Macaca fascicularis: one gene and its partner. The protein of the gene in region 2 interacts with the protein of the main gene of each other region in a biochemical or structural test. Links are inferred from orthologs where the notes say so. Each region holds a gene or a part of one and is shown on either strand. Other genes may lie near its edges. The genes, in order: NUP43 and NUP85.

Region 1 (3,815 bases), on a different chromosome or scaffold from region 2:
CAACTTAACTCAAAACTGAAAATCATAATAAACAACACAAAAGACCAGGTACAGCGGCTCACGCCTGTAATCCCAGCACTTTGGGAAGCCAAGGCTGGCGAATGACAAGGTCAAGAGTTCAAGACCATCCTGGCCAACATGTTGAAAGCCCGTCTCTACTAAAAATACAAAAAGTAGCTGAGCGTGGTGGCGTGTGCCTATAGTCCTAGCTACTTGGGAGGCTGAGGCTGGAGAATCGTGTGAACCCAGGAGGTGGAGGTTGCAGTGAGCTGAGGTCATGCCACTGCACTCCAGCTTGGTGACAGAGTGAGACTACATCTTAAAAAAACCACTCACAAAATGGATTCATGGGCTCAATTCCTAGAGATTCTGATTTAAGAGGTCTAGAGTGGTGGACAGTTAAAAAATTGCCTCAGAGAAATCTGACTGAAGCATAGTTGAGAACCAATACACTTAGTTTTCTACCTAAAAGATGAAACCTCGGCCGGGCGCGGTGGCTCAAGCCTGTAATCCCCGCACTTTGGGAGGCCGAGACGGGCAGATCACGAGGTCAGGAGATCGAGACCATCCTGGCTAACACGGTGAAACCCCGTCTCTACTAAAAATTACAAAAAACTAGCCGGGCGAGGTGGTGGGTGCCTGTAGTCCCAGCTACTCGGGAGGCTGAGGCAGGAGAATGGAGTGAACCCGGGAGGCGGAGCTTGCAGTGAGCCGAGATCTGGCCACTGCACTCCAGCCTGGGTGACAGAGCAAGACTCCGTCTCAAAAAAAAAAAAAAAAAAAAAAAAGATGAAACCTCTGTGATTTTGCATTACAGACTCTGCAATCTGGCCCCAGTTTACCCCTCTCTTGCTTCATCTTTCATCTCTCCTACATAGATATCTAAAGTCAGGTCAAACCATACTTTTTGTCATTCTCTGAATGTCTTTATCCTGCCTCTGGCCTATTCCCTTTGTCTAGCACGCCATCTTTCAGTCTTACTTATGGTCTAGAACCCAGAAAAACTATTAATTACTACCTACTCCCAGATGCTTTATCTGATAATGCCCTCTCGCCAAAAAAAAAAAAAAAATGGTTTCTGTTTCTTCTAGTCAGTCATTCGTACTGGCCTCATCAACCTACTCTCTTGACAAAGGGATCCTGCCGTGCGTGCATGTGTGTGCATGTGTACATGTATTTTTTTGAGACTGAGTCTTGCTCTGTCACCCAGGCTGGAGTGCAGTGGCGTGATCTTGGCTCAATGCAGCCTCTCAGTCTCTCACGTTCAAGTAATTCTCATGACTTAGCCTCCCAAGCAGCTGGGATTACAGGCGTGTGCCACCATGCCCAGCTAATGTTTGTACTTTCAGTAGAGACAGGGTTTTGCCATGTTGGCCAGGCTGGTCTCAAACTCTTGGCCTCAAATGATCTGCTTGCCTTGGTTTCCTAATGTGCTGGGATTATAGGCATGAGCCACTGCTACCAGCCATATATTTTTATATCCCTCAATCACTTAACATTGTGTTTACTTTTTTTTTTGAGACGGGGTCTCGCTCTGTCGCCCAGGCTGGAGTGCAGTGGTGCGATCTCGATTCACTGCAAGCTCTGCCTCCTAGGTTCATGCCATTCTCCTGCCTCAGCCTCCAGAGTAGCTGGGACTACAGACAACTGTCGACACTATGCCAGGCTAATTTTTTGTATTTTTAGTAGAGACGGGGTTTCATCATGTTAGCCAGGATAGTCTCAATCTCCTGATCTTGTGATCCGCCCGCCTCGGCCTCCCAAAGTATTGTGATTACAGGCGTGAGCCACCGCGCCCGGCTCATTGTGTTTACTTTTATTTTTGAGATGGAGTCTTGCTTCGTCGCCAGGCTAGCGTGCAGTGGTGTAATCTTGGCTCACTGCAACCTCTACCTCCCAGGTTCAAGCGCTTCTTCTGCCTCAGCCTCCTGAGTAGCTGGGACTACAGGCGCATGCCACCACACCCAGCTAATTTTTGTTATGTTTAGTAGAGACAGACTTTCACGATGTTGGCCAGGATGATCACAATCTCTCGACCTTGTGATCCGCCTGCCTTGGCCTCCCAAAGTGCTGGGGTAACAGGCATGAGCCATCATGCCTGGCAGTGTTTACTTAGTATATGGTAAGCACTCAATTACTCTGTGATGAATGAAAGGAATACAATGATTTTTCTTTTTTTGAGATGGAGTCTCCCTCTGTCACCCAGGTGGGAGTAGAGTGCCATCACAGCTCACCGCAACCTCCGCCTCTCAGGTTCAAGTGATTCTCCCGCCTCAGCCTCCTGAGTAGCTGGGATTACAAGCATGCGCCACCATGCCTGGCTCACTTTTCTTTTCTTTTTTTTTTTTTTTGAGACAGAGTTTCACTCTTATTGCCCAGGCTGGAGTGCAATGTCACAATCTGCTCACTGCAACCTCTGCCTCCCGGGTTCAAGTGATTCTCCTGCCTCAGCCTCCCAAGTAGCTGGGATTACAGGCATGTGCCACCATTCCCGGCTAATTTTGTATTTTTAATAGAGAGAGTGTTTCTCCATGTTGGTCAGGCTGGTCTTGGACTCCCAACCTCAGGTGATCCGCCTCCCAAAGTGCTGCGATTGCCAGGGTGAGCCACCACACCCAGCCTAACTTTTGTATTTTTAATAGAGACAAGGTTTTGCCATGTTGGCCAGGCTGGGATTTTTCTTACCTATGGTTCTTACAGCTTCCTTGTGATCAGCTCTGAAGAGATTTATTCGACCATCCTCTCCAACTGTAACGATTTCTGGGTTATTGCACACAACACCTGTACATGGTGCACTGCTATAGGAAGGACTGCCAGGGCCTGCGTGGTAGTGAGCTGTAGTCCACTGCTGGTTGACTGACAGAGTCTAGGCATCAGAAATGAGGATACTATTAAAGAAAAGTACTAAGGAACTAGCACTTCTTACCAACAAGAGTATCTTTAAATTCTGACTCACATCCTTCTACAAGAATAAATCTTTTTTCCTTTAGAATAATGAAATCTAGAAACTACTTGCATCAAAGTTCTGTATACATAGAATTAGATTCAAAAGAAATACTGTTTAATAATGCCCCACATTTATCTCAAACTACAGTAATGACTTTTAGGGATCAAGCAGTTGGATGTTCAAAAGCAACTCTTTGTATTCTTATGGAAATTAACCTACATCTAAAATATAAATCTCTGGCCCATGGCTGTGGCTCATGCCTGTAATCCTAGCACTTTGGGAGGCCAAGGCAGGCAGATCATCTGAGGTCAGGAGTTCGAGACCAGCCTGGTCAATATGGTGAAATCCCATCTCTACTAAAAATACAAAAATTAGCCAGGTATGGTGGCACACACCTGTAATCCCAGCTACTTGGGAAGCTAAGGTGGGAGAATTGCTTGAACCAGGGAGGTGCAGGCTGCAGTGAGCAGAGATCGTGCCACTGCACTCCAGCCTGGGCGACAGAGAGAGACTCTGTCTCAAAATAAATAAATTAATTAATTAAAAAAATATTAATCTCTGTAGCTTTTTCTAAATGACTCAAAAAACCTTTAACACGAACTGGGTCTTATATTTACTAGGCATGTCTATTAGAAACGTTACCTTTGGCCGGGAGCAGTGGCTTATGCCTATAATCCCAGCACTTTGGGAGGGTGAAGAGGGCTGATCACCTGAGGTCAGGAGTTCGAGATCAGCCTGACCAACATGGAGAAACCCCGTCTCTACGAAAAATATAAAATTAGCCGGGCATGGTGTCACATGCCTGTAATCCCAGCTACTTGGGAGGCTGAGGCAGGAGAATCACTTGAAGCTGGAAGGCGGAGCTTGT
Region 2 (3,815 bases):
AAAAAATTAGCTGGGAGTGGTTGTGGGCACGTATAGTCCCAGCTACCCGGGAGGCTGAGGCAGGAAAATGGCGTGAACCCAGGAGGCGGAGCTTGCAGTGAGCTGAGATCGTGCCACTGCACTCCAGCCTGGGCAACAGAGGGAGACTCCATCTCAAAAAAAAAAAAAAGAAAAGAAAAGAAAAAAAGAAAAAAATATAACTTGCATGTCACCAATTATTACTTTTTTATTTTTTTTGAGATGGAGTTTGGCTCTTCTTGCCCAAGCTACAGTCCAGTGGCGTAATCTCGGCTCACTGCAACTTCCGCATCCTGGGTTCAAGTGATTCTCCTGCCTCAGCCTCCCCAGTAGCTGGGATTACAGGCGTGTGCCACCACGCCCAACTAATTTTTTGTATTTTTAGTCAAGACGGGGTTTCACCACATTGGCCAGGCTGGTCTTGAACTCCTGACCTCAGGTGATCTCCCCCAACTTGGCCTCCCAAAGTGCTGGGATCACAGGCATGAGCCACCGCACCTGGCTATTTTTTTTTTTTTTTTTTTTTTGGAGACAGAGTCTCACTCTGTCAGCCAAGCTGGAGTGCACTGGTATGATTTCGGCTCACTGCAACCTCTGCCTCCAGGGTTCAAGCAATTCTCCTGCCTCAGCCTCCCGAGTAGCTGGGATTACAGGTGCACACCACCATGCCTGGCTAAATATTGTATTTTTAGTAGACGGGGTTTCCATGTTGGCCAGTATGGTCTCGAACTCCTGACCCCAAGAGATCCGCCCACCTCAGCCTCCCAAAGTGCTGGGATTACAGGCGTGAGCCACTGCTCCCAGCCTACCTCGATGAATTGATGCTTTAGCAAGGGACTTCATTTGAGTAAAAGGAAGAGACGATATTTACAAAAATATTCAGTAGATGACACGAAACACGTAGACAGAGCAAGAATTGTGAAGTTGGTATTCCAAGGACTGAAGTTTAGGAAACAGTCTATTAATGGGAAAGCCCAATATAAGACCCCGAAATAAATCAGACCTGGACCTTGCCCTTAGGAATATGCAGGCTTCCTCTCCTCACCATCCTTCGGTCCACAGACACCACGATGACTTGTTTATAAGGGTACTTCAGAGACACTGAATTACCGCCTAGTCACTTACTGACTTTGAAAAGTATTTAATATGAAGCATCTACTAAGGAAAAAGTCATCTTCCAGCTCCAAGTAAAGTAGAGCCACTTGCAACTCAGTAAAAATGTTGAGTTTGGTTAGGTGTGGCAGCTCACACCTATAATCCCAGCACTTTGGGAGGCCAAGGCAGGAGGATCACTTGAGCCCAGGAGTTCAAGACCAGCTTTGACAACATAGAGAGACCCTGTCTTTCAAAGAAAAAAAAAAATATTGAGTTCGAGAAGTGAGTAGTGTTTATGAGACTGAACAGTGATCTCACAAGATTAGTTCTCCATTTCGGGTGACAACCCCTCAACACAATTTGGTCAGGACATACATGTTCCATAAGAACTGAACATTCAGGGCCAGCACGGTGGCTCACGCCTGTAATGCCACCACTTTGGGAGGTCGAGGCGGGTGGATCACTTGAGTTCAAGAGTTTGAGACCAGCCTGGCCAACATGGTGAAACCCCATCTCTACTAAAAATACAAAAAGTAGCTGGGCTCGGTGGTACGCACCTGTAGGACCCAGCTATTCTGGAGGCTGAGGCAGGAGAACTGCTTGAACCTAGGGCACTCGAGCCTGAGTGACAGAGCGAGATTCCGTCTCAAAAAAAAAAAAAAAAAGAAGAAGAAGAACCAAACATTCACTCAAGTATTTAACAAGCATTTCCTTGTGAGCTAGACCTTGAAAGGGGCAAGACAATCACTGTCACCCAAAGGAGCTGCCTATCTACCTGAAGAGACTTCTGCCGTAACAGGAACTGCAAAGCCACCCCAGGTGGGTGCCCAGGACACAGGACACAGTGGTGCTAAAACAACAAAGGTGACTCCCCTTACCTGGCTGCTGAACTGGCGGCCGCTGGCTGGATCTTTAGCAGCAACTAACGAAACACAAAACATTTTAAGTGAGCAATGGAACTCTTAGGCTTATTTTCATAGCTGAATATTCCAGGGTCTATGGCCTGAGCCTTTGTTTCCTTTAATGACAAAAATTAAAAGAAATTATAATCTCTTCTAATTATGGATATTTTTGTTATTAATGCTTCATATCCCTTCAATTCTCAAACCAAAGGCCCTGAAGTTACCAAATGGCACTTTCAACTGCAACAAAGTTACCATAAAGGTCTCTGACCTTTGTCAGAGTGGCTTCATGTGTGGCTCACACCTGTAAGCCCAACACTTGGGAGGCTGATGTGAAAGGACTGCTCGAGCCCAGGAGTTCAAGACCAGCCTTGGCAAAATTAGGGAGACCCTGTCTCTACAAAAAATTTAAAAATTATCAGAACAAATGTCTCTGAGGAAGATGGGACAAAAATTTTTTTTAATAGCCAGTACACACCTGCAATCCCAACTACTTGGAAGGCTGAGGTAGGAAGATCACTTGAGCCCAGGAGGTGAGGTCACGGCTGCAATGAGCCACAATGTGTCTTTGCACTCCAGCCTGGGCAACCTTGTCTCAGGAAAAAAAAAAAAAAAAGTCCAGGCACAGTGGCTGACTCCTGTAATCCCAGCACTCTGGGAGTCCAAGGCAGGCAGATCACTTGAGACCAGGAGTTCAAGACCAGCCTGACCAACATAGTGAAACCCCACCTCTACTAAAAATACAGAAATTAGCTTGGCTTGGTGGTATGCAACTGTAGTCCCAGCCACTCAGGAGGCTGGCTGAGGCTGGAGAATCGCTTGAACCTGGGAGGTGGAGGTTGCAGTGACCTGAGTTCATGCCACAGCACTTCAACCTGGGCGACAGAGTGACACTCGGTCTCAAAAAAAAAAAAAAAAAAAAAAAAAAATACTCTAAATGATTACCAAAAAAGTAAAGATTGTGAAAGATGGAAAAGTAAGTTTTGGACTGGAATATCAATCAAACTTTACCTCACAGTATTTATGCATAGATAAATACTCAAAATACCAACACACACACACACAAACACACACACACACACACACAGTCCTTACTTGCAACCTGGTGCATTTCCTCCATACATGCTCTTATGACTGATCGGTAGTTTTTACTCACTCGAACCAATCTATAAAAAATGAAATAACACACAAGATGAGCCTGGAACATCTTGTAGTGCTAGAAAAGAAGAAAACACTCAAATAAATGTAGAAATTTGCTGAAAGAAAGAGGGGAGCCATTGTGAAGGAGCTCGTAACCTTCTGAAGCTGGAACAACTTGGGCAACAAAATAAAACGCCACAAAACAACCCATGGGCTAAAGTTAATATCCATAAACCCATACTGACATTAATTGTTGCAGATGAAATCTACTAGTCAGACCTTGTCTCAAAAAAATAGATACGGCCGGGCGCGGTGGCTCAAGCCTGTAATCCCAGCACTTTGGGAGGCCGAGACGGGCGGATCACGAGGTCAGGAGATCGAGACCATCCTGGCTAACATGGTGAAACCCCGTCTCTATTAAGAAATACAAAAAACTAGCCGGGCGAGGTGGCAGGCGCCTGTAGTCCCAGCTACTCGGGAGGCTGAGGCCGGAGAATGGCGTGAACCCGGGAGGCGGAGGCTGCAGTGAGCTGAGATCCGGCCACTGCACTCCAGCCTGGGTGACAGAGCGAGACTCCGTCTCAAAAAAAAAAAAAAAAAAAAAAATCCCAGCTACTCGGGAGGCTGAGGTAGGAGAATCTCTTGAACTCGGGAGGCGGA

The links.
Region 1: the proteins of NUP85 (region 2) and NUP43 form a complex in vitro, tested with the Homo sapiens proteins (2 studies listed by BioGRID). The link is inferred for Macaca fascicularis from reciprocal best matches to the Homo sapiens genes NUP85 and NUP43.

The regions. Positions count from the first base shown.
Region 1 is NC_088378.1:57,729,068-57,732,882, forward strand, and holds part of NUP43 (nucleoporin Nup43), read right to left. Parts: intron 2,867-3,815; coding exon 2,686-2,866; intron 1-2,685. UniProt on the Homo sapiens protein: Component of the Nup107-160 subcomplex of the nuclear pore complex (NPC). The Nup107-160 subcomplex is required for the assembly of a functional NPC.
Region 2 is NC_088390.1:81,600,031-81,603,845, reverse strand, and holds part of NUP85 (nuclear pore complex protein Nup85), read right to left. Parts: intron 3,182-3,815; coding exon 3,111-3,181; intron 2,036-3,110; coding exon 1,992-2,035; intron 1-1,991. UniProt on the Homo sapiens protein: Essential component of the nuclear pore complex (NPC) that seems to be required for NPC assembly and maintenance. As part of the NPC Nup107-160 subcomplex plays a role in RNA export and in tethering NUP96/Nup98 and NUP153 to the nucleus.